3 linked regions of the Coturnix japonica genome follow. The protein of the gene in region 2 purifies or fractionates together with the protein of the main gene of each other region. This does not show direct contact. Links are inferred from orthologs where the notes say so. Each region holds a gene or a part of one and is shown on either strand. Other genes may lie near its edges.

Region 1 (9,837 bases), on a different chromosome or scaffold from region 2:
TGCATTAACCATATAAAGAGTTCTTTTGATTTTTGGTTTCTGTGTACATGTTAGTAAATGGCTGCCAGAAATCCCAACCTGGAGGTAATTTGTCCTCCTGGAAGGACTGAAAGATGCTTTTATAGCATAGGTGCAGGTGCTGTGTTTTGGTTGAAGCAAATGAAACATGGATTCATAGGTCCAGAGAAGACAAAGGAGAAGAAGATAATTGTATGTTTTTTTGTTGTTACTATAATCAGTATGTAAGTGACGTTATTGTTCTGCAGCCTTGTTCTCTGTCATGTGTTACAACGTGCTGTGTGATAAATACGCTACCCGGCAGTTGTATGGCTACTGTCCATCTTGGGCGCTGAACTGGGAGTACAGAAAAAAAGCCATTATGCAGGAAATCCTGAGCTGCAATGCTGACATCATAAGTCTTCAGGTAAAAGATATACTGTTATTTCTTTTCCCCTTCCAATTCTCACGTGCTGGTTTCTCTGTATTAAATATATTTGCTGTAACTGGTATGTTTTTCAAAACCCTCTGAAAACAAACAAAGAAAAAAAAGAAGTGGTGTTCAGAGCAATATTTGCTGCTTGACATCAAAAGAATGCTTTTCAGCCCACACAGTTGGGATGTGAACCAGCAGCTGCTGATCAAAGAAATGTATGTGGGGGTGTCTGTGTGTGTGCATGTGAGGGTATAATTGACACATTTTCAAATATAAGGCTTAGGATAATCATAACTCTGGGGATTACAGAAGTTCATTTATATTTTCTTCTTAAAACACGAATATTGCTCTCAAATTTGTATTCTCCAGTGTACTTAATTCTTAGGAATTCTTATGTTTTTTTTTTTTTTGTTTCTTTTTCCTTAATTCTAATTTGAAACTGATTTACACTTCTGAAGAGTCTAAATAATATCAGTCTTGTGTGGTTTGGTAATAGTAATTCACTGTGTGCTGTGTTCTGACTTTATAGGAGGTTGAAACTGAGCAGTACTACAGTTTTTTCCTGGTAGAACTGAAAGAACGTGGCTATAATGGATTCTTCAGTCCAAAATCTAGAGCTAGGACAATGTCCGAACAGGAAAGAAAACATGTCGATGGTTGTGCAATATTTTTCAAAACAGAGAAGTAAGTGATTTGGTTTATTAAGCTTTCCATTGCCTCTTGTTCTTTTCTACACGATTTCTTGGGTCATTCAAAAGTCAAAATAGTTTGCCACCGCTCACCCTTTCTTGTAGCTGTTTGGTTTTAACAAGTCAAGAGTTCAGTAAATTATGCTTCAAATGCTGTCATTACACATTAAAGATGTTTGCGTTTTAATTTTTATTTAAAAAATATATTAAATATCTCAAAAATGAATTCTCAAAAAAGAAATCTCAAAGGCTGAATTCAGACTACAAGTGGCGGTCATGGCTTTCCTTCTGTCCTTCTCCTTCGATTCCTTTTGTGTACACAGCGATGCCACAAGCAATTATCTAGTTGCTATTAAACCAGCAAGTTTGGACTAGAATCTTATGCAGAATGAAAATGAAGCACTCTTTCAGTAGTTGCTCCTTCTTTTTAAAAAATAAATGTTTTCATTAAAATCAGCTTAATATCTTTAAACAAACAAAGAAACAACTAGGAAAACAGTATCCTTTTGATTTCAGCAAATGATTTTTATGAAATTATAGGATGGGCTGAGACTTTCTCACTGTAAATGTGTTTGAGCTTAATTAAGAGGTGAATTTGTCTGTAACATTTCCTTTGGTGGCTGTCTACTGAAGGAAGTGTATACAATGTTCCTCTTTCAGATTTACTTTGGTTCAGAAACATACTGTTGAGTTCAATCAACTGGCTATGGCAAACTCGGAAGGCTCAGAAGCTATGCTGAACAGAGTTATGACAAAAGATAACATTGGAGTTGCTGTGTTATTAGAACTGCGAAAAGAACTGATAGAAATGTCATGTAAGTGCTGTTTAATATTTGATTGTGCGGTATTTTATCAATTGAAACAAACCAACCCTATCATCGTTTAAACCATACATCTTTTCCTTAGACATACAGTGTTCAAACTTACATTCACCCGTTAAATCCAGTTTCCTTTTTACTGCAACTTTGTGCTGGAAAACAAACAATGAAAGCACTGCAGTTTGAGGGATTCTGCTTGGAGATGTGTAAAGGTATCAGAGAACGAGTTGATATTGGATTATTCCTAATGCTTAGAATTGACTAAAGCACTGAGCACTCAGTAGTTACAAGAGGAGTTGTGTAGCCCTCTTAAGCTAAATGTTAGTAATCCTTTTCAAACAGCTGGTATTTTTTTCCCACCCTCAAACATCTTGTTTAAAATCAAACACAGGTAAATATGATGGTATTTTCTGTTGCTGGCTATGCAAGGTAAATATTTAATTTTAAATTTTAGCTGGAAAGCCGCATCTTGGGATGGAAAAGCAGCTTGTTCTTGTTGCTAATGCACATATGCACTGGGACCCCGAATACTCAGATGTGAAACTCATTCAGACTATGATGTTCCTATCTGAGGTAAAGAACATTATTGATAAAGCTTCTCGTAGTCTCAAGCCTGGTGTTGCAGGGGAACTTGGAACCATTCCACTCGTATTGTGCGCCGATCTCAATTCTCTGCCAGACTCTGGTAAGAGCACTATTCCTGTTGTTATTGTTTTATCAGACTATTTCAAGTGTGTAGCAATCCAAATGTCTCAATTTTTAATGGGATTTTTAACCCAGCGAATATATTGTTTGATATTGCAAGCTCTGAAAAAGTGCAAAGAGAATAAAAAGATGGAACTGCTTCTTTCATGAGTGACTTTTATTGCCTGCATAGTACTATAGCTCTACTTTTGTTTTTCAGAATCATTTTGATTGTTGTCCTAAAATATAGGAATGGGAAAGAAGAAAATGTCTTCCAGAGTAACTGTCAATGTTACTATGTTGCTGATGACTGGTTTATTTTTTATAATTGCTTTTAAGTGTGAAAATATCTGTTCTCTTCAAAGTTGCAACCATACAATCATTTTCTACTGCTCAAATGTTTTAGGACTTCTAAAACTCAAACCATCTCCTGTGAGAAAAGGATTCTTTAGAGCTCTTTAATAATGTGTAGATTTCTTTGTAGCAAACTTTATAGACTTTAAAGTCTATAAAAACAGCAGATTCAGTGAACCCTTTCTTGACTATTTCTCAGGTACCCAATCTGAGTAGTGAATTTGAGGACCACCCTTTCTTATTGTTGCTTACTACATGCTGTTATCTCCATCCCTAGTCCACCTTCCTTCTGGCCTCTACTTGGCAGCATCTTAGCCATTCCTATCAACCCTAACCTGATGCTATTGCCTAGCAGTGCTGGCAAAGGGATTCTCTGTGATGCCAAGAGGGCAGGTATTGGTGGCGCTTACTGCAGTGGGCAGTTTTTGTCTGATTGTGCCTTCAGAACACTTGGTCATTTACCTTCCTGAACCCTAACACGGATTAAGAGGCACAAGTATAATTTGTTTTATCCAGGCAGTAATCTGTTCTGCTTTGTAGCCTCTTGGCTTTCTGGAGTCATTTTAGCCAAGCGGGGTTGAAAGCTGAGATTTGTGTATGAAGATGCCTACCGAGCACCTATGGAATTCTACTTCCATCTCTTTTGTTTTCCCCAGTCCTCTCAAGACAGTCTATTCTATTTACTTTACTATTTTTTTTCTAATCAATGAATCTGTCTTTGTTCTAGGTGGCATTTGCTCTTGACACACATAGACACTGTCTCACAATATCTCTTTAAGATCAACTGCTGAGTATATTGTGTGTACTTATATAAAGCAGAAAATTGCACATATGGCTCCAAGTAATCCATGCACAGTTGCTGAATGCTTGTTAATACCTTATTGTGTATGTGCCTCTCCTAATAGGTGTTGTTGAATACTTGAGCACTGGCGGAGTGGAAACAAACCACAAAGATTTTAAGGAACTGAGATACAATGAAAGTCTTACTAACTTCAGCTGTAATGGGAAAAATGGAACAACAAATGGAAGAATTACACATGGTTTCAAGTTGAAGAGTGCCTATGAGAATGGTCTAATGCCTTATACAAATTACACGTTTGACTTCAAGGTAAGGACTTTACTGTTGCTTTGGAAAAAAAATTTCCATTTTTTAAGTTTTATTAGTGGAAATGCAGTTAGTTAATTGTTTAACAAGGAGGTTAATGTTTAGGTAAGTCTATCAAGTTCATTTAAAACAATCAAAGCATTTAGCAAATAGAATGCCTAAAATTTCCGTCTCCTAGAAATCGAGTTTTCCTTTTTCGTGTTAGTTTTGTAGTAGATCTGCAAGAAAAAGGGCACTGGTTTCCTTCCCTTTAAATAAGATGCTGTATTCTAATAATACAAGCTTAATCAAATACTGGAATTTGAATGGATAATGTGCCAGTTCCAAGGAAATAATCCATGCCACTACTGGAAAAGAAAGATGGCTCTGTTCTTGAAGTTACATTTCTCTGATTTTGAGGCTTTGTAAGAGAATGGAAATTACAGCCTCCAAAAGGAGAGCAGAATGATGTGGAGAGGAATTTGTTTCTCTAATCTGTACTGGGCTACCCACAGGACAGGAAATAGAAGTCTCCTAAATTGAAGATAAACTACAGCAAAGGAATGATAGCATTGCAGTTACTCCTAATGCTGAATTCACCTTTTGTTTAGGAAAAAAAAAATAACTTGGGTAAAGATAATGTACTAATATTGCTATCTCCCTTCTTGTTTTAGGGTATTATTGACTACATCTTCTATTCTAAACCTCAGCTAAACATACTTGGCATTCTCGGACCTTTGGATCATCATTGGTTGATAGAGAACAATATAAGTGGTTGTCCCCATCCACTCATCCCTTCTGACCACTTCTCACTTTTTGCACAACTGGAGCTTTTGCTGCCTTTCCTGCCTCCTGTAAATGGAATCCATCTCCCTGGCAGGAGGTAGTTAAATACATTTTAGAGGGTAACCTCAATCAAACTTGTACAATTGTAAAATCTGAATATAGAGGAGTGAGGTATGGCCAACAGGGATTTTTTTTTTTTCTTAATAATCTTAATCTTAAATCTAATTATTTGCTAAAGACATAGTAAAAGCCAGGTGCTATCAACAGACATAATTCTGAGCCCACTATACTTTGTATACTGTCGACAGTGATCGGTGCATTTGCACCTTTCTTTAATACGTTGCAGTTAACCTTCCTGTTTCTTTTATCCAACGTGACGTTTTCATGCCTTGAAATAGGGAATTGTTATACAGTATATTCTCTTTGCACAGTTATCTGTAGCACTACTTTTTTGAGGCCAGTAGGAACATCCACAGAACACTCTTCCGTACTTCACTCCCTCCTTTTTCAGACTTGTTTGTAAAATATAGAATTTGAATTTAGCCTTTATTGATTGTATATGAACAACAGAAAACCTGATTTATGAAATTTTGTACTTAAAAAAAAAAGAAATCAGATTTGGAAAATGATTGTATTGTAAACTAAGGCTAAATTTTTATCTGTTTTCATGTGTTATAAAGGCCAGCTTGTAAAAGAGGTTGTCACAGGTTTTCTCTGCTAACGATTTGCACTGTTAGGGTTTTGTTAGCCCTTTTGTACTACTTTCTATGTTCAATTGAGAACGTTGCTTTTAAAATCCAGATCTATAAAATTTCAGTATCTTACAGAGGACTAAATACATTCTATTGATCTCTGATTTTAAAAAAGAGAAAAGCATGGAGTTCTCACAGAACATATAAGCTAAGCAGTGAATATAAGTAGACCTGTATGCATTGAAAGTTATTGCAGATGTGTATACTCTCAGATATTTTTCTCATCTCTAACTTTTGAAGTAAAATGTAGGGATACTTGTGTATAGCTTCCTCATTTCTGTTTTAATACCTGTCCTATCTCCACTGTGCCTGCTTAAATTTGTTCTCAACTAGCACTGCCTGTGCATGCAGAGAGAGCCTGTGCATCCTCTTTTATGTTTTTTAAATAACGTTAACACTTGTGAAAATTTTATGAAGATACTTTTGTATAAGCTGTGGCATCTTCTTTTTTTTCCTTTGTGAAGCATTGGGTATCACACTCTGAACGTGTTCAGGTTATGGGTACACAGTTTCTAGCTTCTAATACCCATGCGCTGCTTCTTTCAGTGTCATTGCACAGCGCTCTGTTTCCCACTAAGAATTATCATGTGAATTCTCCTTAGTTTGAGTGTGTTCCTCAGTTTCAGAGTATAATTCCTTGATGAAGAAGATGAAACCCTTCCATTTTCCATTGATGAAGCAGTGTAGAAATAAATGCGTTTTTGAAGCAGGTCCCAAAGACAATTCTTCAGATCATTTTTAAAGTGACCAAGTCTTATTTTTAAAGTGTCAAGACTAAAGTTATTGTGTACCCTCAGTGCCATTTGTGTCACGAAGCCAAGTATACGAGAGCTCACAAATTTTAACTTGTGTATTTGTATTCTATGAGAGAGACGTTATCGTCTCCTTAAACTAATACAACACAAATAATCAATGTAAAAAGTGAAATAAATGGAGATAGAAAGCTTGATCTTAAACAGCTTTTGTTTCAGCTGCGGGCAGGGAAGCAAAAGGACACTGAGCATTAAGAGAACTTTCTAAATATTAAAATTTTTTATATATATGCGAGAGTGGATTGGTAACAGTGATTCAAAATCGTATTAAAAATTAGGAAGCACATAAGTGTGCTCAGACCGTCTGTTTGAAGCTGAAGGTGAACGTGGCAAACAGTTCGGATGTGAGAAATGTACATTTTTAAATTGCAGTAGAAGAAATTCTGATCTTGAATCCTTGTCTGGGACCTGATCTCTTGGGGTTATTTTGTTCTCGTTTTAGTTGTGAAGACACCAAACGCGTCCAGTTTATAATCAGTACATTGAAATGCTGGTAGTATTGCTGTAGTAAACTTAATGCGTAGTGTTATTTTTTTTTTTCTGTTTGGATTTTTTCTTTGTTTTCTTTTTTGTTTTCTTTTTTTTTTTTTTCTTTTTGTTGGTTATTATTATTATTATTTTTTTGTAAAGTGTGAATAAAAAGTGTTTTACTCATGTTTCCTTAATGATGTCTTGGTAATGTACATCATGACAATTTCCAGTGACGGCGAGCCCATTTAGCTTGTCCAGCTGAGCAAACTGTTTTTCTTTTCTGAGGATCTGGATTGTGTATTGAGTCCAGAAAGCTTTACAGAAGGGGAAGGGAAGCACTTATTCATTTTGTATTTCTTAGGGGGGGGGGTAATTTGCTTTAATAGATGCTGGAGCTTGAGTGCACTTGTTAGATTCAAAAGGTTTGAGCTTTATCCAGTATGTTTTCTCCTATATTTCTTAGTCTTAAAGAATATTTGAATTTATTACATCATTAAAATGTGGCCCGTTGTGCTTTTGGAGACACAGCTGTCCCTGTTCAGTCACCTGGCAGTCTAAGGGTCCATGTAAGTAACCATTTCAGCTTTTATACTAGTCTATCAGATCCCAACTGAAGACCCACTGAATACATGTAAGGCACTCCTTTGACTTCACTGGGTTTTAACTGGACTACAGTGGTCACTTGAGAGAGGAGGGAATGAGAAATAGTTTGAGTACAGGGAAATCACAGAAGGCGCCAAAACGGAGCTGAGATAAACTTCTAAAGAAAATACATTCGTACGTCAAGCAAATGTAACTCAGAAGTCTCGATTTCCAGCTATAGCATAGAATAAGGCAATAAATCTTGTCTTCACACAATCAAAACGTTTGCTTCATAGTTTTTTGACTCAAAATGATTGTTTGCAGTATTTTATTGGAGGTGGTTTGGGGTGTTGCCATAATGTACTTTCAGTGTTCATGTTGTAAAAGCACGTACAGCAAAAGTCACAGAACATCAGTGGGACTCGCTGAGGTTTGAGCAGGCTTTTTTCCCCTTAAAATAAGGTCGACCGTATCTTGTCTACTTGTATTTACATTTACAAAGAATTCTGGGATTCGAAATGTGAAATTGAGCATTCCTTTAGCTAAGAGGATTGATTACAAGGTGAATCCACAAGCTACTACTTTAGAATGACATCAGTTGGGAGGGGCGGAGGGGGAAGGCAGATAAGTCAGTGTCAGTGCATTTTGTAATTATTTTGTCCTTTTAGCTTTAAGAGAAAATAATACATTTGGCCACCACCTGGACAAAAGTGAGTTTGTTTAGAACATTGTACGTAGGCATCTTTGGTGTAACTTTAGCAAGTCTCTCAAGTTTGGGTGTTTTGTGTTCTTGTTTGGTTGGTTTTGGTTTTCTTGAGCAGACTTAGGTTATGATTTGCTTTTTCAGCCACAAGGTAAAACCTGTATTGGATACAAAAGAATTACAATGACATTGGAAAAGGCAACTAATTACACTGTAAAAATAGTACTAATCAGTTAACTGCGTAAGTAGCAAGCCTTTCTCATCCTGCCGGTCACAGTATTTTTTTAGTATGTTAACTGCTATTCTTTTCTTTTGGTTGCATAAATTTGTAACACTTAAGTGTCTTGGTATGTTTAAGTAGTGTCTAAAATAGAGTATCTTAGTCTTTATTCACAGTACTTCTGTATAACGTGTAATGCACTGGACTAACTCTTGTTTACCATTCATGTAACAAAAACCAGCACATTATCTGCACTAAGCTCAAAGAATGTTGCATTTGTCTATAGGCAGCTCTTCAATACGATAAATGGGAAACTGAATATGGTCTGATGGTAAACAAGGGCTTTTACTGTTCTCTTCAGTGGAACTTTCTTCTTGGTCAAATTTTAACTAGTTAGTATTATATTTATATACAGGGTCTTCTTTTTCCTTACCAATGTATTTTCCTACTCATAGCTGACCAATAAATCCAATATCTGTTTCAAACCTTCTTGAAGTCTAACTCATATTTTAACTTAGTTCTGAAAGCTTTTCCTCGAGGTACTTTTGTAGCCAAAGTAAGTGAAGGATGTCAAGGGTAAAATGGAAGCAAATAAGCAGCTGATGATCCCAGGAAGTCTTTCCTGTACTCCTGAGGACCAAAAACCTTTGAATCAATTGGGCTTGGATTGCAAAATCAAGAACTGGTTAATAATGCCTCCAGACTTTGTGGAAAATGTGTTCAAACAAAATAAGAAGCCTGTGATCTTCTGACCAAATTAGACTGCAGCTCTGTGTCTTCATATGTGGCCATCCTCTGCTCTTCACAGTAAGGTGGGTTGTATGGCAGTGCAGGAGCCGTGGGTTTGTTCTGTGACCCATCTCCTTCCTACCCCAGAAAGCCTAAGTCAGACTTGGGATCTGGCAACAGGAAGGAATTCAGAGGTTCCTTTTTTCATTAATACACCACAGAAGAGGAACAAAGTGAAGATTTCTTTCATCTTTTCGAAATAAGATTCAAGGTAACTTTTGTCCTTCCTTCATTTTATGATGACGTGATTTCTGCAGTATTTTCTCCTGCGTCGGAGTGTATACAGGTTGTAATGGCCACAAAGGTTTCAGTGGCCAGAAGTGCGGTGTTTTGTTTGTGATGTTCCCATCTCTAACTGCAGAAAACAAAATATCTGAGCATAATTGCTGCGTGAAGCACTGAAGCACAGAAGATGTTTCGCAGACACTCCTGTGTCGTTTCAGAGCTCGTGCTCTGTTTGCTGGCACTGCTTTTGTCACAAATGTTTTTGTTCATTGCTTCCACAAGTGCCACACACCTCAGAGTGCTGACCTGTGTGTGTATTTAAAATTCAGTGTTGAGAAGCAGCTGTAACAACAGAACCGTGATTCCATCAGAGATTTCTGCAATGCTTTCTCTTTGGTTTTAAAACTTTCCCCGACACATTTGCTGTCTTGCCAC
Region 2 (10,402 bases):
GCCATGGTTCTCCAGCGCACACGCGGCTCCCAGCCCCACCCCAGTTCTCCCCGCAGGCACCGCATGCTCCTGCACAGCCTCCACCCAACTCGTCAGACAGCTCTGCTGCACCAAAAGGAGCGCAACCGCACCGCTGCACGCAACCCGTTAACCCTTGGTGCCGCGGAGCCACGCGCTCCCTCACCTCCTGTTCCTCAGCCTTCAGAGGGTCACGTCCTGATGCACGGGCCCTGGGTGATGCCAGCAGCTCTGTCAGCCAGCGTGGGTCAGCGTGGGCATCGGGGCCCTTTGAGGAGCCTTCATCCTGGCCTGGCCCTCCAAGGCCCTGCAGGCTTGCAGGAGGCTCATCTGCTGGCTCCCAGGTGTCAGCTTCAGTGGGGGCTGGATCTGGTGGGGTAGCCTTGACAGGGGGCTCAGGTTCAGCTGGGTCCAAGATGGGCTCCACTATGTGGAGCTCGGTGCTGTCCAGCTCTGCCTCTTCTTCCTCCTCCTCTTCCGAGCTCTCAGATTCTTGCTGAGCCACAGGACCCCCTGGGCACGGAGCCCCCTCAGCTCCCCAGCTGCCTGTCACTGCAAAGCCAGGCCCATCTGCGTCCCCGCTGTCCCCATGGGATCCAGTAGCTGCACCCTCCCTGTCCGACTCATCTTCTTCAGACAGCCCAGAGTCAGCTGCCTCCTGGATGGGGGATCTGGGTGGGGATGGCAGCCCCCTTGCCCCCCGTGTGGGGAATGTCCATTCAAAGGACTGGGAAAGGCTCCAGCTGGACTCGCTGCTCAGCAAGTGCTCTGCTGGCTGGTCCCCGGGCTGGGGCAGGGCACCCAGTGAGCCCCCAAGCAACCCCATGCCCTGCCCTTCACTGGGAGGGGGCCGCAGCACCCCCTCTGATGAGCGCCGCAGCCCCGAGTCTCTGTTAGAGGGAGGAGGGCTGAAATCAGGACCTTCAGGAGTCCGAGAGGACACGGGGGAGTCATCAGGACCCCCAGGGGAGCCAGGAGGGCGAGAAGCTCTAGCAGGGAGCTCAGGGGGCGGGCTCGGGGAAGGTGATGGCTGGGTGGCAGACTCAGGAGAGCCAGGGGGGCAGGTGGCTCTTGGGGACAGCTGGGGTGCGCCCAGTGTGGAGGGGCTGGCAGGAGTGGGAGATCCCTCACTGGGGGTGTGTGGGGAGCCCGGGGAGCGGGAGGCACCAAGCCAGGGCTCAGCCACAGATGAGGGAGCACCTGGAGCCTGGATGGAAGTGGCCAAGAGCTCCTCAGTTGGAGGCTGAGCTGGAGATCTGGGGGATTCAAGAGCCATGGTCGGGGAGCCAGGGGCCAGCAGTTCTGGAGGGGCATCAGGGGAACCGGGGGCTGCAGCAGAAGGCTCAGCAGGCTGGAAAGGAGCTCCTGGGGGTGGGCAAGCAGGGGATCTTGGGGAGCCAGGGGGTCCCAGCTGGAGAGAGGAGAGCTGCAGGAAGAACAGGGAGGGGAGTCAAGTCACTCAAGGGGAACCTCCCAGGCATCACCCAGCCACAGCTTTCAGGTCCTCTCTGCCAGCACAGCTCCAACATACAGTGACAGTCATAGTCCCTAGCCCCATCTCCCCTAAACCCCATGGGCAAGAGTTGCCCACACATCCTGCCAGCACCAGAGCTGCTTCCTGTGTGACTCAGCCTTGGCAGCTCCCAGAAGCTCCCATTCCAGCTGCATGCCCTTCAGGACAGGGCCAAGCAGTGCCCAGAGCCCTGCTCCTTGCTTCAGCAGCCCTGCTGGTGCCCACCAACCATCAACGTGCAGAGACAGACATGGAGAGGAAGAACTGAAGCAAGAAGAAATAAAAATACAACCACCCCAATCGTCCCCGCGTGGGCCTGGGCACCCTCAAGACACTCCAGCATCACCCAGATAAGGGTGGGCCAAGCCTGACTAGAACTGTTAAGGGTTAATGCTCCACAGCAGTTCTGCCACCTTTGGTGTCTCTGTCATCACTCCAGTGCATGGGGAGGGGGCACGGCAGGGAAGCGGAATGGGCCCGCCTACCACATACCTGCCCGGTCACCAAATCTCAGCTGGTGACTCACAGCTTCTCCCTGTCCCCACCTTGGCACCAGGACTGAAAATCACTTCTTGTTCCAAGAGCCCAGCCCAGCACCTGGGCACCCTGTGAGGGAGCTGCGGCTGCAGTGGAGTCACCTGCCTTCCCCAGAGCAGTTGGCACCCAAAGGAGAAAGGAGAGACACGCACCCCGCAGAGAGGGAGCCCCGGAGGAGACAGGAGAGCCCCGAAGGAGAGAGCCCAGGAGTGGAGTGGCCGCGACGCAGGAGGGTGCGGCGAGAACTCACGTCAGGGGGAGATGGTGGCCTCCAGAGTCCACAGGGGTCCCCGGCACAGCTCGCGCCAGCTGGGGAGGAGATGCTGCTGGAGAAAAACAGGTAGGGGGGTAAATATGGCGTGCAACCCATTTTTCCTCCCACAAGCACACACCTCCCAACCCCAAACCATCCGGCTCTGGCCACAGAAGGATGTGGACGAGGACCACAACCAACCCTTAACTCTCTGTAAGGGGCACTGGAAACATGCCCTGAATTATCAGGGTAGGTTAGGATTGCAAAGGCAATTCAGCTACAACCCCTTTTCTGGAAAGTTTTTCATCCTTTGGAGTGCAAGTTTCTCACACTCTGGTTTAAAATAGCCCCTGCCCTGCTCCCAGAGGTGCCCGGCTTTAGGGAGCACAGCCAAGTGCTGGCTTCCAACCAGCCCCTCCTGCAGCCAGGAGTCCCACAGATCTGAGGCCTCTCTGCTCTAGCATGAACTAGCAGGAAAAAAAATAGAGTGGAGAAAAGGGGGAACATTTCCCAGGGGCAGTAACCCCCCGTTATTCCCTGCTTGGGCAGCGGAGTGCTGTCTGGCAAGGTTCCAGTCCCAGATGGCTGCAAGCGTGGAGGCAGTTCCTCAGCTGGGCCGGCCCATTCTTGTGGTTTTAATAAACCACCAGAGTTGTCGCGGGTGACCAAGCCTTCCCACGAAGGCGGCTCAAGGCACTGTTGGTTAGGAGGAACAACAGCCTTGTACTGGCGACCAGACCTCAGGTCCCTTCCAGCTCCATTTAGTTCCATCTCTAACTGCCCACCGATGCTTTCCCCATGGTTCCCTGTCCCTGGGACCGATCCTCTGCCCCTCACCTCATCTCAACCATCGGGCATCTGTCACCCCCTGTCCCCAGCTCTCCCTCAGCCTGCTGGAGCAGCTGGCGGGCTTCACCAGGGGAGTCTCCATCTGCCTCCCCACTAGGGCGTCTCCGGAAGGCGGTGAAGATCTTGGAGCCAAAGCGAGAAGAAGAATCGGAGCAAAAGGGAGAGATGCGGGCCCGGTCAGGGCTTCCCTCCTTGCTGTCCATTTTGGCCAGAATCTCCTCCACGGTGGTGCCTGGAAATCGCTCCAGCTTGGTTGCCACAGGCACTGGTGTCACCTTAAAGGGAGCTGGACCTTTGCGGGAAGGCGTCGATGGGGCCGGGGGCACCTCATCACTGGGGGTTGAACACGAGTCCTCAGGAGTGAAAACTGGTGGGGATGGGAGCCCCTTCCCGTTGAGGGTCTCAGGTGACTTGATGGTGAAAGAGGGGCGTCTGAGGGCCACCCCAGAGCCACCCCCACTGTACGGCTGGGGGCCTGCCAGGCGGTTTATCTTCTCTGCGGAGGGCAGCTCAGGACGAGAATGCCGTGGTGCTGGTGGGGGGTGAGGCAGGCAGGGTTTGGCAGGCACGGCTGGCTTGGGCAGCACACGGGGCTTGGGCCGGACAGGAGGCTTGGGGCGAGGACTGCCTGTGGGAGAAAGACGAGGAGAAACATGGGGAGTTGGAGAACACAACAACACCTGCAGACATCTCACTCTGGGTTAAAAACACATATAAGCCATTCAGGGAGATTCTCACCTTTCTCAGAGCTGCCAGCCGCCAGTCCGGTCCCCCCGGAGGCACAGGGCAGTGGGGGGTGCAGGGACTGGGGCTGGGAGGCCATGGTGAAGCCGGAGCTAATGCTCAGCAGACTCAGCGTGCAGTCAGCCCCTGCAGAAGAGAGAGGGGAGAAACGTCACGGAAGAACCTTAGTCCACCCTGTCCACTGGGGCCTGCTGCCCCATTCACCCTGGTGCCCCCGGTCCCTGCTGTACCTGCAGCATGTTGCATTGTGCTGCTGGCTTCCCACTCTCTTATACCAGTGCAGCACACCGTGCCAACCCACTATCTCACCGCCAAGCCTCCGTTCGGCCGTACCACCCTTTGTACACTGCCCCAACCCGCCGGCAGCACCCAACCATAGAGCACACCGTGCCAGTCCCTTGCACACCTCAGTAAATATGTGCACCCCAGCCCTGTTCACCTGGGCTGCCTTCTGTGTGCGGTGCCAGCCCCTCGTCCACCCGCACCGACCCCCCATCCTACACCTGGGGCAGCCCCCCCACCCGCTGCCCGTTCCCTCACGGAAGTGCTCCGCACACCACGTCAGCCCATACCGCTCCCACGTCCCGATCCCCAGCCCCGTCGGGCCCTATAGGGTCGCCCCCCCCTCACCTGCCCCTCGGTCGCCTCATGGCCGGGTCTGGGGCTGGAGGGGAGCGGGCCGCGATGCCCAGGCCCGGTTTGGCGTGGCCGCACGGCTCCCCGTGACTCACTGGCGCTGCGGGGACAGGAAAAACTCGCTCGTGCCTCCTCCTCCTCGCGGCCCTGCCCTGCCCTGCCTTCCCCTCGCCTCCTCCCCGCTCCCTCCTTCCCACTCGCGATGCGGGGTCCCCCCTTTCCCCCCCCCTCTCCCCTCGGGCCCCTTCTCTCTTCGGGCTCCCCCCACCCCGGCCAAACGGAACCGGAGGGGGCACATCTGGAAGCCATCGTCCCCCCCCTCCCGCCCCTCCTCCCCCCGCCGAGGCTGTTTCCCAACCCCTTGGCAGCCCCGGGATGCTGACGAGGCCCCGCTCGGTGACGAGGCGAAGGGAAGCGGGGCGGGGGGGGGAGGTGTGGAACGGGGCTGGAAGGGGGAAGGGAGACAGGGGTGCCCCCTCCCCCCTCCCATCCTCCGGGGCCTGCCCGCGTTGTCACGGTAACGCAGCCCCCGCTCGAGTGGCCGGGCGGGCCCGGGAGCGCCGCCATGGAAACGGAGCCCCCCGCTCCATCGGCGAGGAGGGGCCGCACGAAGGGCCGGGCGGCCCGTTGTGTCCTTCGCAGCCCGAGCCTCGGCCCCGCCGGGCACGACGGGCTGAACGGCCTCAAGGACCCCGACCCCATCGCCACCCTCGTGCCCAGATAACCCCACCCAGCTGCCCGCCGCCCCTCCCCCGTTCCGGTACCGTACCCACGCCGCGCTCCCGCCGTGACCCCTCGCCCTGCCCGCGCTCACCCGCCGCCGCCGCCGCCGCTGCATATTCATGAGCGATGGCCTCGCCCCCTCCCCACCCACCGCGCCCCCACTCGGGCCGCGCCCACCCCACGTGGCCGAGCAGAGAGAGCGGAGAACTAGAGCGGCGCCGCGTGGCACCTCCAGCGGCCATAGAGCACGGGCTGTGCGGGGCCTGAGTGTGAGAGGGCGGTAGAGGGGAACCCCGGGGTGCGGCGGCCCCACAAACCGGCTGTGACCTACAGAGGGGGCGGCCAGGCCGAGCCCCGTCTCCCCGAGCCCGTTCCCCTGCAGCCTTTGACTCGCAGCCAGGCCGCCATGCCGGGGTCAAGCAGGAACGCTGATGAAATGACTATCACCACCACCACCCCCAGGCACGGTGCGGCCCTCCAGGGCACAGAGAACATCCGCACGGCATCGGGATCGACCGCCGGCCCTCCATTAGGAGGCTGATGGAGACTAACAGGATTAGGGAGGCCGCAGGAAGGGGCTCCGGCTGCTAATGGATGGGCTGTGAGTGAGCTCAGCCCCTGGCTGCGGTTCAAGGAGGCCGAGGCGATGCCGGGAGAAAGGCGATGTTAGAAGGAAGGCATCCCAGCACCGTGTGCCCCTGGGGAAGAGGAGCCCGGCCCACCCCCACCTCCACACCCACACTGCAGTCCCGCCGCGGGTGTTTTTTATTCAATTCGAGTTGCCATGTGAACTGACCCAACATACAAAAAGGAAAAAAATAAGAGACCGAAACAAACCCGAGTATTTAAAAAAAATAAATTGATGAGAAACAGGGCAGAAGTGGGATCGAGGCTCCTTCCTGGGCCTCCCCTCTGTGGGGCTTCACTCTGTAGCCAGGCACTGAGGGGAAAGGGCTCAAGCAGTGAAGCTGGGCACCCTCCTGTCCCCACTCCGGTGCCTCCCCTCACCTGGCAGCAGAGGTAGGAGGAAGGGCGGCCAGGCAGGTTCGGAGCCAGCCAGAGCCCAAGAGCCAGACCCCTCCTGCGGGCCGGCCCACCCAGTCCTCACGCTGATCTGGGAACCAGCCTGGAGCCAGCGGGGACAGAACTAATCCGAGCCGGATCCGGAATCCTCTGAGCTTTGGGCCGGGCTGGCGCCTCTCTCATCCTCTGAGTCCTGTGGGAAGAAATGGGAAGTCAGGACAGTAGAAGCAGAGCAGCTCATGTTCACCTGCTCCTCTGCCAATAGCAAAGACCAAACTCAGTCCTCTGCTACAAGACTGGATGTACATGCTATCTGGAAGAATATATGCCTGTAGGGATGAGGTAAAATAAGACCCAGCAAATCCCACCACCAAACCGCCCTACTACCTCCTTCTTGCTCTCTGCAGAGGAGCTCTCGTCGCTGGAGACAAATTCCTTGCTCTTGAAGCTCTCACTCATACTCTTGGCAGAACTCTTGGTGGAGGACGAAGACTTGGAGGCAGCACCCTTCTTCTCCCCTTTCCCCTTCATCTGTTTCTCCTGCTTCTTCTTCTTCTTTTTAGACCTCTCCCTGTGTGTGTGTTGGCAGGGTGGAAGAGACAGAAGCATTACCTTGCTGACAGCTCACTGGTCCCATCTCACAATCCCCCAGCCTCAGAGAGGCCCAGCCACCACAGCAGCTGAGGACAGACAGATTCCAGAACAGTGAAGCCCTGCCACATCCCTCTTGTCTGCTCAGCATACTCACATCTTGGAGCTCTCTGACTTATTGCCCACGCTGTACTCTTTCATGGCCTTCTCATAATCCCTCTTGGCATCTTCTGCCTTGCGATCCCATTCCTGCAGCAAAAGCAGGTTAAGTGGCACTTTGTTCCCACACCATCCACCATCATGAGCATCTGCACCACCAGAGTCCAACACGATCTCCACCCATGTCCCTGACCACCTGGAGACCTTACTCACACACCAGCTGAGATGTCAGCTCCCCACTGCCACCCTCCCTTCCTGATCCGTTAATGGAGCAGCAGGATCCCGAGACCAAGCAAGAGCATCCTGACATCCACCTTCCCTTCCTACATACGGCTTAGCAATCCACACTGGAAGAGCAACCCACCTCTTTCTTCTCCTTAGACATGGCTTTCCAGAGCTCCCCAGCCTTCTTGGACAAGTCTGTGATGCTGATACCAGGATGGTCTGACTTGATCTTCTCACGGTTGGCATTCAACCAAAGCATGTAAGCTGACATGGGTCTCTTGGGCGCGTTGGGGTCTTTGCCTTTCTTGCTCTGGAAAGCAGGAAGTGGAAAGAACCAAGACTTGAAATACCCCACACACTAAAGTCTTAATTGGTTACCCCAAGATGATGCCTCCTGCATCCCACCCGTAACTCAGCTACTTAATCAGACAGATGAGTTGTCAGCTCACACACACACAAAGGTGAAAGCACCCACAGAGTAAGTGGAGTGGATGTGAAGGACCTGTGGGGGGCAAGTCCTCCAACAATCAGAGGGTACTGCCAGGCTCAGACACCACAATATACTTTGTAAGTGTTTCAATCTAGACTCATCTGCAAGATGAAGTAAAGCCTGCAGGAAGCAGAAGAGCCAGGCTTGGACAACCCAAACCCAGCAAAGCACAATGAGGTGGTGGGATTGGATCAGACCACAGCAGAAGGCTAACGGGAAGCAGCTCAGCTGATGTGCTGTGACCTGGATCTGGTGTTGCTCCAAACATAGGAGCAGCAATCCATGTTCCAAGGGCAGTGAGTCCTGATCTACACAACTCTACCAGCAACAACTTCTCACCTCCATATGCTTCTTACGGGGCTTGCGGTCTTTGACAATCTTGGCCTTCTTGGCTGGCTTCTTCTCACCTCGGTCACTGTCACCATCCCCACTGGAGGAGCTGGCTGAGGCATTGCTGTCAAACCTGTGTGAAGAGACCTGGTTTCAGGGAAAGCTCAAGATCTCAACTCCAGCAAGATGAAGCAGGAGGTAAGGGAGTCGTAGCAGTGGCAAGCACAGAGCAAGACTTGCCCCTGAACTCTCCCATCCTCCAGCAACTTGCAGATCGGAGACTTCCTGAGCTGAAGCTGTTCTGCTTGCACTTAACAGCCCTCAGGGGACTCTCTTTCCACGAACATGGCTGATCATTTTGAGTTCCCGTAAACTTTAGGCATTTGCAATGCCTCACAGCTGAACGGCACCAAGATCCACCCCTCCTCTTGGGCTGAACCTGACTCCCATCAGCACACACGATGCCCCTGAGCGCTTGTTCAGACTGCAGTTCTCATCAAGAGAACTCGAGAGACAGACCAGAAACGCACCAACTTACAAGGCCATTTTCAGTGATACTGTCTGCATCAGACGCATTCCTCAACATTCTCACGGCCCCATCCCACCCCACACAGTGCCTACAAATGGCATCTTCCAAAAGCTGCCCATAGTTAGACTCCTGACCAGCCCCTACTACTCACTCTTCAGCCACATCGTCATCCTCTTCCCCAGGGTTGAACGACTCATCTGAAAGGACAGAGTGTGGGGTGAGCATAGACAGCCAAGGAACACAGCAGGATTCAACCAGAGGAGGAAGTAGCCTGAGCACACCAGGCAGCCCCTCAGGCAGTGAGGCTCACATGCAGCCCCAGCACGTACCTGTCTCCTCTCCAGACCCATCGCTGCTATCGTTGGCGTTCTCTTCCCGGATCTTGCCCTCCTCCTTCATCCTCTCCAGGTAGGCATCGTGCTGGTCCTCATCAGAGTCGGCATATTCGTCATAACTCTGCTTCATACCCTGCAGGAGGGACAGAGTGAGAGCTGCTCTCCATGCTGACCACATCTGCATACAGTCCATTCTCTAGAAACTACAAGCATGCACGGCCAGGCTGGGAAACACACAGCGTCCCATCTGTCTCCCTGTCTTCTCATCAGGGATGCAGAGAGGGGCAGGAAAGGTTCCCAAAGGTGTTATCTGAGTTAGGTGGGGGCCCCTCTTGCAAATCATGCTGCAGTTACTGAGTTTAGTCAGAGACCAACACAGCCATGCAGAGGAAACCTGCACCAGGAGGAGGAAGGAGAAAGAGGAAGGGGTATCGCACGGACCTTTTTCCTCTACAAGGGTAAGGAAAGAAAAGAAAGGTGAAAAATAATAATAATAAAAGGAATAAAAGCAGCAAAACTTTGGAGAGAAGAAAAAAGGCCCCAAGTCATCTCCCCACCCCAGCCTGCAGGCCACTGATTCTAGCAGGGCACAGAGAACCAGCCCTGTGCAGCAGGTACCTCCTTGAGGCCTCGGTTCTTGATGTTCAGTTTCTTGGCATTGACGAAATCAAAGAGCTTCCCGTACTCCTCCCTATAGCAGAGACAAAGTGGTCAGGGACAGGTTGAGCTTTTTACACCTTGTTACATCAGTAAGGATCCACCACGTGTAACCAACATGGAGGACACAGGGACAAGGGGGCTGAGTGGCAGGACAGAGAACAGCCCTGTGTTACAGTAAGAGCTCGCTCCGTGCCCACCTCTCTATGCTGCTGAAGGTGTACTGTGTGCCCTGCTTGGTCTCGATCTCAAAGTCAAAGGAGCGGGTGGTGGTGGTCCCACGGGCAAAGTTGACAAAGGAGATCTCATCAAAGCGGATGTGTACTGGTGGCTTGTGAACGTAGATGAAACCACGCTCCAGTGGGTAGAGAAGTCCTGAGCTGGCCTTGTAGGAGCAGGTGATGCACTGGGCTCCAGAATGTCTGTGAGGGCAAACATTGCCATGTCACATCAACAGGAAGCAAACAGCCCCACAGTGAGACAGCAGCTTTGTTAAGTCCACCAACCACCCCCACGGGGTAAAATTCTTGCAAAACCCCTTCATCCTAACTACAGAAAGAGATGTTGGCCCTGCTGTCCAAGTCAGGAAGGGCTCTCAAGCAGCTGGCCTGAAACCACAGAAACAAGAAGAATGTCCTTTCCTAAGGACAACAAGGCAAATTTTGCCTCTGCCCCTACCACCATGCACGCCCTTAGTGTAAAAAGGTCCCACATTCCCTCGCCCAGCCAGAAGCAACAGCATGCCTCACCCCTGGAAATTGCCAGGCACAGTGATCTTGCGGTTCACCAG
Region 3 (9,843 bases), on a different chromosome or scaffold from region 2:
GTTCAATAATGAGCCCACATTACAGCAGAGTATTCAGTGATTCTGTGGCAGTGATACACCTTTTAATACCAGAAGATTAAACCAGATTAAAGACCTTTAAAAGACCTAAGGACCAGCTTCTGGATAGGGAGCTAGGAGATATGGTTTAGGGGTTTTCTGTAAGTATGGTAAAGGAAATGGTTGGACTAGATGATCTTATAGGTCCTTTCCAACCTTGTGATTCTATGATTCTATGATTCTTTAAACATTAATCTTAGAGGGAGGAAACTTGTTAAGCAAGGCAGAATTTGTAAAGAAGGTGAGGCATTTATTATATCAGCCAACAAATATACATGTGAAACATACATGTTTTCACTCATACTACCTTCCCTTTAACTTTCATGTTCCTTAAGATACAGCTTTGTTCACAGTGTGGGGGAAAAAAAATAAGGGGAAGGCCTGCTGCAAATAGTCAGGGCAGCAAAAGGAGAAGGAGGATCTTTCTTTGTACTGAACTTTATCTTCTGTTTTATGCACACTGAGAGGAGACCTTGAGACCTAAATTAAACTACTTCTGACGTATTTAAGAAGAGCTGCTTCTTACTTTTCAGTTTTGAAGAATATTGCACAGCCATCCACATGCTTCTTCTCCTGCTCAGACATGATTTTGGCACGTGACTTTGGAGAAAAGAATCCATCGTATCCTCGTTCTTTCAAGGCTGGCAGAAAAAGAGTGAAGTATTGCTCTGTTTCCACTTCCTAAAATTGAACACAAATACTGCATGTTAACAAAGTCAAGTAAACCTTTCCAATGTGACAGCTAGTGCTTGTCTTGCCTTGCAATCAGAAGCCCTTACCAAAGTCAAAAGCTTCTGTTTGCCCAAGTCATGTCACTTCTTCAACTAATGGCCTAATGGAATCAGATGTGCCTTCCTGGATATCCTGGAATCCCCTTGAAAGGGAAAGTGCCAGGTGTACTTTGATGAGCAACAGATTACTTTGCTGCTTTTGAGAGATGAATGTGGGTACTGTCCTAGATTAAAACTTTGTGCAGGATGACAGGTATCGGCAGCAGTTCATATTTAACTTTGGGAGCTCTATCACAGCAGGGTCTCTCCCTGTTCTGTAACAACACATTTTCTTTGTAATAACTTCTGATCTCCAAGAGCACTCTCTTGAGGTTTCTGCACAGAGATAAATAATCTTTTCTTGTGCATGATTTTTACTCATACAGACCTTGCTTAGAAAACAAACTGTCAGTTTAAAGGCAGAAGTATTCAATTACTCTGCACACTGACAATGGATTTTTTGTAATAGCAGTATACATGTACCAATCACAACTGATATTTAACTTTGACATGCCAGTTCTCGTTTCCTAGTGAGATCATTTTTGAGATGCTAACTTCCATACCGAACAGAAATTGCAGCATTTTCTATTTCTAATGAAAAACATTTTCCAGTTACCTGTAGACTAATGATATCTGCATCGCAGTTGACGATTTCTTCCATGATTCCCTTTTTTCTGTACTCCCAGTTCAGCGCCCAAGATGGGCAGTAGCCATAGAGCTGCCGGGTGGCGTATTTATCACACAACACATTGTAACACATAACTGTGAATGAGGCTAGAAGGAAACAAAGAGATGGAAATATCACCAACCTCTGAAGGCAGCAAATGCTGAACTTGCAGAGTGAAAACACTCAATCTTGTACAGTTTATTCTGAACGTACATGGGCTTATTCCACTGAGTTTCATGAACAGGACTAACAAAGACCCAGCTGAGCCAGCAGTTATAAGGCTAAACTCTTCCTAACTGCCAAAATGAGACTGCTTAATACACACAGCAAAGCAATGCAATCCCATTTTGCAGTGAAATCTTTATTTCTTTGGGAATGAGGGAAGGCAGCAATTAGGAACCATCTCTCTGGATTTGGGGGTTGGAGATGGAAAGGAGCAGCCATTTGTGCCCTGGGTGAGGGTGAGGAAAAGAAAGAGAAATGAAGTAATGAATGAGCAAGCACTTTCTATATTATTTGGGGACATTAAAGAAGAAAAGAGAGAAGTCTGTATGCAGCTGATAATTCAAACTGAAACACACTTCTTTAACATACAAAGTTCTCAGCTCTCCTTAATTTTTCAACAAGACTGCTCATCTTTGCAGAAAAAGAAGTGAGGTTTTATTGTGAGGTAACCTCACAGCTGCATTTTTTGTGCTTGTAGTCGAATAAGATCACTGCTCAGTTGTTTCAACTTTATACAACTGATTTCATGCAATTCACAGCCAATTGGCTTACTGTAGTTTTTGTCATGAAATATCCCACAGCTCACTCAGCTGATGTGGTGCTGTCTAATGGCTTCTAAATTGTGTTTCTCCTAAGGAAGCTGGATTAAAAACTGCAGTGAGATGCTGGAAATGCAGAACTTAATGTAGTGGTGGCTTACGAGGCTTTTGGTACCTCTCCCCTTTCTTACTATGTTTTGTTTCTTCTGATTTGTTGTTCTTTAACTTAACAAAGGGACAGATGATCTTACCTATGGTGTCACCCTCCCTAACGCCCTACTGAGTTATGTTCGGGTTTCTAAAACGGAAAAAAAAATGCAGAGGATTTCCACATCGCCATTGCTGATTATTAACCTGATCTTCTGCAATAACAACAGTAGCGTTTTTGTTCTTTACAAAAGCTCTTGGATGCTTCTTGAGGGTTACAGTCAAGACTACAGGGGAAGAGGCACCGGATTTGTAGACTGAAGATTGCCTCGTGAACTTCCTCAACTTCAACAACAGAGGGCGATACACTAACTTCACTAACACTCCTCCTGCTCCTTGTCCTGTGGACCAACTTCTCCAAGTCTCCTCCTAGTCTGCCTAACACAAAGAAATGGACCAGCATTCCATCTGAATTACAGCAATGGTACTTACAGCACAAACATGTGTTAATTATTTAATATGAATTAAAGCAAATCGCTCTCTTACATCTGATCCATGTAAGACAGAAGACGGCTTTGAAAAAAGAAGCCAAAGAAAAGTTCTTCAGCACGTCGCTGTTTGAACATAGGGAAAAGAACCATGGTTTTACCTGAGGGCAGAATTTGGTCTCGTTCTTTCAAAGTAATCCATGGCCTTGGAGGCAGCTGCTCTGGATGAACTAAAAATAAAAGCAAGACAAAGAAGCAACCATTAACTCAGCTGCAAATTCTAAATCAAACTGATGAATGAACAATAATGTCCCATACTGTACTTTGCAACACCAATTTCCCATGTCTTTTTAAGCTCCATGAAAGATGAGGATATACACGTGCACCTTGAAAATATTATTGAGGAAGAAGGGGTAAACCTTGTAGTTGTTTTGACATCCTATACTCCCCTCTCTGAGAACTCTGCTGTACATACATCATTCCTGCAATGCATACTCTCCATTTACAAAGCCAGAGACTGCCATGAGTTGGCATAAAACAAGTGCCACCTCAAACCACAGCCATTTTACAACACTGTAAAGCTCAGCTGGGAGCTGATCCCAAAACCATTTAAAATTCCATCTGTGGAAACTTACATCAGAGACAGAAGTTTGTTTTGTTTTACCACATGAGAGACAAAGTGGCAAAACAGAAAACTGTTTGGTTACATGGTTACAGAGCCATGGCACAGGTACTGGATATTCTTAATCAGAATCTTGTTTCTATGTTTGACATTCTGCTTCTGTTTGCATTCTAATTTCTAGTATCGAAATGGCTTTAGCGAGGAAGACTTTGTGGTAACTGAAGGGTTTCAAACCTCAGTGATAACAACTGGCTGGGCAACCGGTGAAAAGCTTAGACAGTATCTATGTACTTCTTCCTCCATGTGTGTGTGTGTGTGTGTATGAGTAGAAGTGCTTAACAAAAACACAGAAGCAGTAAGAAAATGTTCTCCCCTCTGTGGTTCACCCTTCTTGTTTTAGTGGCAAATACTGTCAGACATGCATGCTCTTAAAACATTTCTGTCAATCAAGATCTGTAGGTCTGTCACCTGCTAGATTGTCAAGCATGTAGTTCAGTAGCTTTCGAGTTCCATCTGGATCTTGGTAGAGGCTGAGAATATCTTGTGATAAAGGATTGCCTGCCAACAACACAGAACAACTGGGTGATTAGCTGCCTGATTTTCCTGAGGCTTTCCAATAAAAGAAAATCTCCCGTAATGAGAACAGACAAATTGACCCAGAAGGAATTTAGATTGCTTAGCTTGTAACTCTTGAATACCACAGTAACAGATGCCATAGAGATAGCTTGCATGCAAGACTTTCTTCTTTTGATTCACCTCAATCAATAAACAAAGTAAGTTATGGGGTTTGTCTACCCATTTACAGATTTAAAACAGGTTCATACTGCACCTTAATATCATTAAAAAAAGCATTATTTTCCAAACTGGTCGGTCATTGCTGCTTAATATGTGAAACTGTAAGAAAATGTTGAGGTAATGCAGGAAGCTTCTGAGCACAACTCCCTCAGTAAGTCAAGAGCACTCTGAGAAATATTTAACTGTGAAGAGCTCGCTCACCTTTTAAACCCAGGGTTTGTAGCTGGAAGAGCCGTCCAAGTTCATAAGGCAAAACCCGTAATAGATTGTTATTTAAAAGCAATTCCCTGCAACAAAGCAAAAAACACTTTTGATGAGTGTCACTCTGGGAGATAACTCTTACAGCACGATGCTGCTCATCTTCAAAGGTGGCACTTTTCACCCTGAATTTTTTGTGCTATGCAAAGACATGCAAATCCTCGAAGCACAACTGAAATACATCAGGAAAACAAAACGAAGCAAAACAAAACAAAGCGAAAGAAAAAGCCCAACCACAACCAACCTGCACAGTAAAATCAGACACTAGTTAAACAGTGGGCAATCACAAAGTCTCAAAGTGAGAATGTTTCAGAGCAGAATGCTACCCAGCTTATGGTTAGCTATCTGTAGGGATCAGGAAAACAGGATCATACAACCAGGATTAATTGTTAGAATTGAACATTTGTATCAACCTTGATTTTTCTCAGGTTTTAAATCCAAGAATAGAGTTAGGAAACAAGAATGAATCCAACTAAAATAATCTCTAATCTCAGAATACAGACTTTTTTTTTGGAAATTCAACCCAAATGCTTCCTCTTACCTGAGAGACACCATGTTTCCTAGTTCTGCTGGTAAACTTCTGAGTTTGTTGGATGACAGGTCCAGATACACCAGATTATGAAGCTTGGCAATATCAGGTGGAATGCGAGTAAGATTATTGTCATTGAGGTGTAGAGCAGTCAAGTGCGTCAGTGACCAAAGCGACGTACTTAAGCTCCGCACTCTACCTAAAAAAGAAAACCAAGCACCTCCTCAGTCAGCTTTACTCCCTCCAACCATCACAACCCACGTGTGACATGCATCTTATCCACAAGCAGCTCCTAAACAATTCCCTGACCCTCCCGGTTAAGAGAGCAGAGACAGAGACAGAGGTCTGGGACATCAACGTGCTGCTAAGACCGCACATCCAGTCTGTTTGTGTTTCACATGAAAGCTTGAAGGCAATCTGGCAAGTTAATTAATAATTCTTTTCAATGTAGAAAAACCGTTCTCACTGCAGGACCCCCTACCTGAGAGTGGCCGATGCAGCCCTTGGGCTGTGAAGCTCTTAAATTTGCCAAACCAAAATTCAAACGCAAACCAACTCACCCGAGATCTCTAATTCAGCCCAGTGAGACTTCTTTCCATTGGCTACCTCTTCTGCTGACATGATGGTGTAAATTCGGCGAGGATCGGGAGGATCATATTTTTCCTTTGGCATCACTGTTAGTCTGAAAGACATTGATAACCGTGACTGCCTGAATGTTATCACCAGCCAAACAGCTCAGGGCATGGAGCTCAGCAGGTGCTCAGACCCATGCAGAACATGGACTTGTAATGGAAAAAGGCATTTTCCCTGAAGAATCTGGTTTTCTACAGTGTTCCCTCGTACACTTCCAAAGCAGAATTTCTGGATTTTTAGTTTATACCCTAGACCAAAGCATGACCTCCATCATCACTGAGTTACTTGCTGTGAGCAGAACATGCAGACAAGGTGATGGCATTTCACTCATCCATCTGAGCAGACTTCTCCCTCACTTCATTTTCACAGGAAATAACAACTGCATTTTTACAGCAATTGCTTTCAACATGCAAAATCCTCCTTTTCCATTCACTTACAGAAAACTTGAAGTTTGAAGGGGAATTAGCTCTTATTTTTTCCCATCAACCATCTAGCTTTTCTGCTCTATGCTCTTCTAAGCTCACTATCAATCAAGACCTTTTTACTCCTAGAAGCTGGGAAGATCTAAAGTAAGTTTGGGTACAATTCCCTTTCTCAGTGATACAAACAGAGCTTCATCCCAATCCAAAACTTGAACTATCCAGGTACTTGTGCCCGCAGGGTAAGCCTGCACACACACATCCAAATGATCTCACTTTCCAGATTCTTGGCATAAGAACTCAAAAGCTGTGCACTTTATGGATGACAAACAGAGGTTCCCCTTCATACCTCATCAGACCATTGCACTAAGAATTCTTAGGGAGAGAGGATCTGTTTGGTTTAAAAACACAAGATTAGCTGACTTCTGTGTTCACCACTTCTCACCCCCCGCTCCTCCTCCCCAGACACACAAAACACACAAACCTCAATCTTACACCAATCCAAAGCAGCTGCTATCCAGAATGCATTTTTTTCCTCATACATGTCTCTTTTACAATGGATTCCAATAGCTGTGAATAATTTAAAATAACAATAACTGGTTTGGTTTGCTGAACTGACAAGACAGAAACCTATGAAGAATTTGAGGAAACTCATCCAAGGTTTCTTCAGCTCATCCAACTGCCGAAACACAAAAATCTGAGCTTATAAACAGGAGGGAGACTGACTTCTTTATACAGGCAGATAGTGATAGAACAAGTCAAAATGGTTTTAAACTAATAGAGGGCAGGTTCAGGTTAGGTGTTAGGAGGAAATCCTTTACTCAGAGGGCAGTGAGGCAGCAGCACGGCTGCCCATAGAAGCTGTGCTGCCCCATCCCTGGAGGTGCTCCATGCCAGATGGGGCCCTGGGCAGCTGAACTGGGGGGTAGCCCAGCCCATGGTACAGTGTAGGGGCTGGGTGGGCTTTCAGTTCCCTTCTAATGCACTCATCTTTTCTGTGAGCTGAGCTTAAAGCACTGCTGTTTTTCCAACCAGGAAAGATCCCTGGCATTCCACAGAGAGAGAAGAGCTGCCCTTCTTGAGAGGTCCCAGTTAAAGGTCTATGTCTTCGCCCTCCAATGACCATGCAAGGGAATCCCATTCATGCTGAATTCAGACTGTCTGTTTCCAGGGACAGACAGAAGGCACAGACAGAAGTGCTAATCATAGTGGCTTGCTATTTACAGGTGAAGTCAGATGGCACAAGAGCTGTGGTGTAAGAGGATTCTTTGCTCACGCTGCTCAGCTGTAGCAATGCAGTTTGAGGAGATGAATGAAACAGATTAGAATCAGACCTGAAAGGCTTAAATCCCCAAATCAGAAGCAGCACTGCCCAGTACAGCCGCAGGTACAGGCTGTGCTTTGGTAGTCCTAAATTTCCAGTTCTTCTTCTCACAGGATTTATTTTCACTGTTAAACACATGGATGCACGGAAGCCCTTGGCCTCACAAAGGGATTTGACAGGATATATGCCCAGAGCAGGATCGCAGCCCTAACGATTCAGGAACTGCACAAAAGAGAGCAAATCCATCCACGCCAAAAAGCAGCCAGCTGGTTTTGCAGTGGGTAACGCCGTGTCACTGTCACAGGATTACCCGCAAGGATCCTTTAACAGAAAATGAGATTTCATTACCTGGCAGCATGTATTTCATCCGTAAGGCACAGTATGGATTATAAGGGGGGGAACCGAAAGGCTCTGCGGTGAAAATCAAGTGGAATACCAACAAAGGATTAAGGGCTTATGGTAAGAGAGAGCTTTTGGGAACTATAAGTCTTAATCATCAAACATTTGAATTGAACCAGGACGGGTCCTCATTCTGCTTCTTAATCTGCTGCCTCTGAAACCCAGCTCTTCTTCTCCCACGTCTGGCCCTGGGACAGCTGCAGCATCACAAACTTTGCTTCTGAACGGCACTTGAGTGAATGCTCTATGGGATGGGCTGTGCTTGCCTTCGCATTCCCGTTTGCTTCAGCATAATGTTATAGCAATAGCAGACCCAGAGAGATGGAAATCTCAGTATCTGCACACGGAATACACCCACCCGCCCTGCCGCACACTGCTGGCCAAAGGTTTGGACACGGCTGCTTCCTATGAGCTTCAAGGCACCTTGCCAGTTAAAAAGGCAAGCAGGGAATGATTTGTATTGAATGAATTGTTTGCTTGCCGTTTCATCATTAGCCAGACACAGATGGCCGGCAGCTTGGGTAGGCTGGGTCCAGCTGTGGGACCTTGCTGTCATAAGCATTGAATCACAGCCTGTAAGTGGCTTGGGGCCTGCCCCAGCTGCCGAGCAGCCCCACTGCTGGGTCACAGATAGGCTCGGGCTGGAAGGGATCTAAAGATCATATAGTTCCAACTCCACCACTGTGGGCAAGGCTGCCACCCACCACACGGGGCTGCCCAGAGCCTCTTCCAGCCAGGAAATGGACATCCACAGGTTCTCTGGACAGCCTGTGCCAGTTCCTCAGCATCCTCTGAGTAAGGGGTTTTCCTCCTAACATCTAACCTATATCTCCCCTCTTCTAGTTGAAAACCATTTCCCTTTGTCCTATTGCTATCTAAGCAAGTAAAAAGTCAGTTTCCCTCCTGTTTTTAAGCTCCCTAAAGTAGTCCCCCAGCTCCATTCCTCTCCACCAGGCAGAAGTCAAACAAACACGCCAGGGCCCTCACGGCAAGGCTGGCTGACTCACTCCATGAGCAACCATACCTGCCCGTGGGCCAGGAGGTGACCACCAGTGGGGTGACATCTCCAGAGATCTTTGGGAGTACTGCTTCCTCTGGGGAAGGGAACCCAATTCAATTATGTTGAAATATCGCTTGTTATGAGAACAGCTCTGCCAATTTAAAGCAATTTGTGGCAGTCGGAGGCCCTCCAATGAAATGAGCCCTGAACTGCGAGTCAAACGCCACGCACATTTTTCAGATGTTAGTCACTGTAATGTTATTCTGAAATAGTTGTGAGTCAAATGAGGATCAATATGATTTCCACAGTTACAGGAAAGGGAAAACAAACCTAAATCAAATACGCTTGTTTCTTCGGCATAATAGCAACACGAAGCTGGACTTGAAAGCCACTGCATACGGGTTTTTTTGAAGCAAAAATGAATTCTGCCTGGGTTCCCAGCTCCTCTGGTTCCCATCTCCCTCTCTGCTTGTTCTGGAACTAAACCAGTACCAAAAAATCCCCATCTATTTTTGCTCAGCCTTCAGGGAGCGAGACCAAGTTCCTTGCATCATTTAACCCCAAAACTGGATGAGCATCAGCGTCATCAAAAGGATAAAGTGGGACGGAAGCAGCACAGGTTCAGGACAGCCTGAGCTGTGGGTGAGTTCAGCGAGGCCTTTGCTGAAACTCAGTTAACAGGGCTGTGATAGGAGCAGGATACGTGCACTCTGTTTCTTGTCTTTTGAAGAGGGACAAAAAAAAATCCTCGACTCCTTTTCTTCCTAAGAGATCCCTTGGGAAACTTTTGAAGCTATTAAAGTTTGCTCTCCACTAAAAATCTAACTTTAACAGTATGGCACTAACATTGTGTAAAGAAAATCTGGATCTGAGACCATAGTGCATAGATTATCAACTAAAACAACAACAAAAAAGGCATCACGTAGCAGCAGCAGGGGAGATGTGAAGAGCGTGGTCTGTTGAGGAAGGAA

What was found. Proteins that work in one complex are often made in the same cells at the same time.
Region 1: the proteins of TNKS1BP1 (region 2) and CNOT6 purify together in Homo sapiens (affinity purification with mass spectrometry; 3 studies listed by BioGRID and IntAct, with this or other methods). This does not show direct contact. The link is inferred for Coturnix japonica from reciprocal best matches to the Homo sapiens genes TNKS1BP1 and CNOT6.
Region 3: the proteins of TNKS1BP1 (region 2) and CNOT6L purify together in Homo sapiens (affinity purification with mass spectrometry; 4 studies listed by BioGRID and IntAct, with this or other methods). This does not show direct contact. The link is inferred for Coturnix japonica from reciprocal best matches to the Homo sapiens genes TNKS1BP1 and CNOT6L.

The regions. Positions count from the first base shown.
Region 1 is NC_029528.1:4,244,003-4,253,839, forward strand, and holds the end of CNOT6 (CCR4-NOT transcription complex subunit 6), read left to right. Parts: intron 1-266; coding exon 267-424; intron 425-962; coding exon 963-1,117; intron 1,118-1,782; coding exon 1,783-1,937; intron 1,938-2,394; coding exon 2,395-2,625; intron 2,626-3,883; coding exon 3,884-4,086; intron 4,087-4,736; coding exon 4,737-4,949; 3' UTR 4,950-8,877; downstream 8,878-9,837. UniProt on the Homo sapiens protein: Poly(A) nuclease with 3'-5' RNase activity.
Region 2 is NC_029520.1:7,742,951-7,753,352, forward strand, and holds the start of TNKS1BP1 (182 kDa tankyrase-1-binding protein), read right to left. Parts: upstream 5,924-10,402; 5' UTR 5,365-5,923; exon of another isoform or gene 5,320-5,364; intron 5,015-5,319; exon of another isoform or gene 4,909-5,014; intron 4,651-4,908; 5' UTR 4,545-4,650; intron 4,041-4,544; 5' UTR 3,994-4,040; coding exon 3,909-3,993; intron 3,799-3,908; coding exon 3,159-3,798; intron 2,395-3,158; coding exon 2,319-2,394; intron 1,445-2,318; coding exon 185-1,444; intron 1-184. Other genes in the region: FACT complex subunit SSRP1, read right to left, coding at 6,421-6,489, 6,684-6,867, 7,045-7,136, 7,411-7,581, 8,101-8,224, 8,772-8,817, 8,950-9,088, 9,574-9,646 and 2 more.
Region 3 is NC_029519.1:30,865,104-30,874,946, reverse strand, and holds part of CNOT6L (CCR4-NOT transcription complex subunit 6-like), read right to left. Parts: intron 5,780-9,843; 5' UTR 5,770-5,779; coding exon 5,658-5,769; intron 5,297-5,657; coding exon 5,110-5,296; intron 4,598-5,109; coding exon 4,512-4,597; intron 4,074-4,511; coding exon 3,984-4,073; intron 3,124-3,983; coding exon 3,055-3,123; intron 1,602-3,054; coding exon 1,444-1,601; intron 739-1,443; coding exon 584-738; intron 1-583. UniProt on the Homo sapiens protein: Has 3'-5' poly(A) exoribonuclease activity for synthetic poly(A) RNA substrate.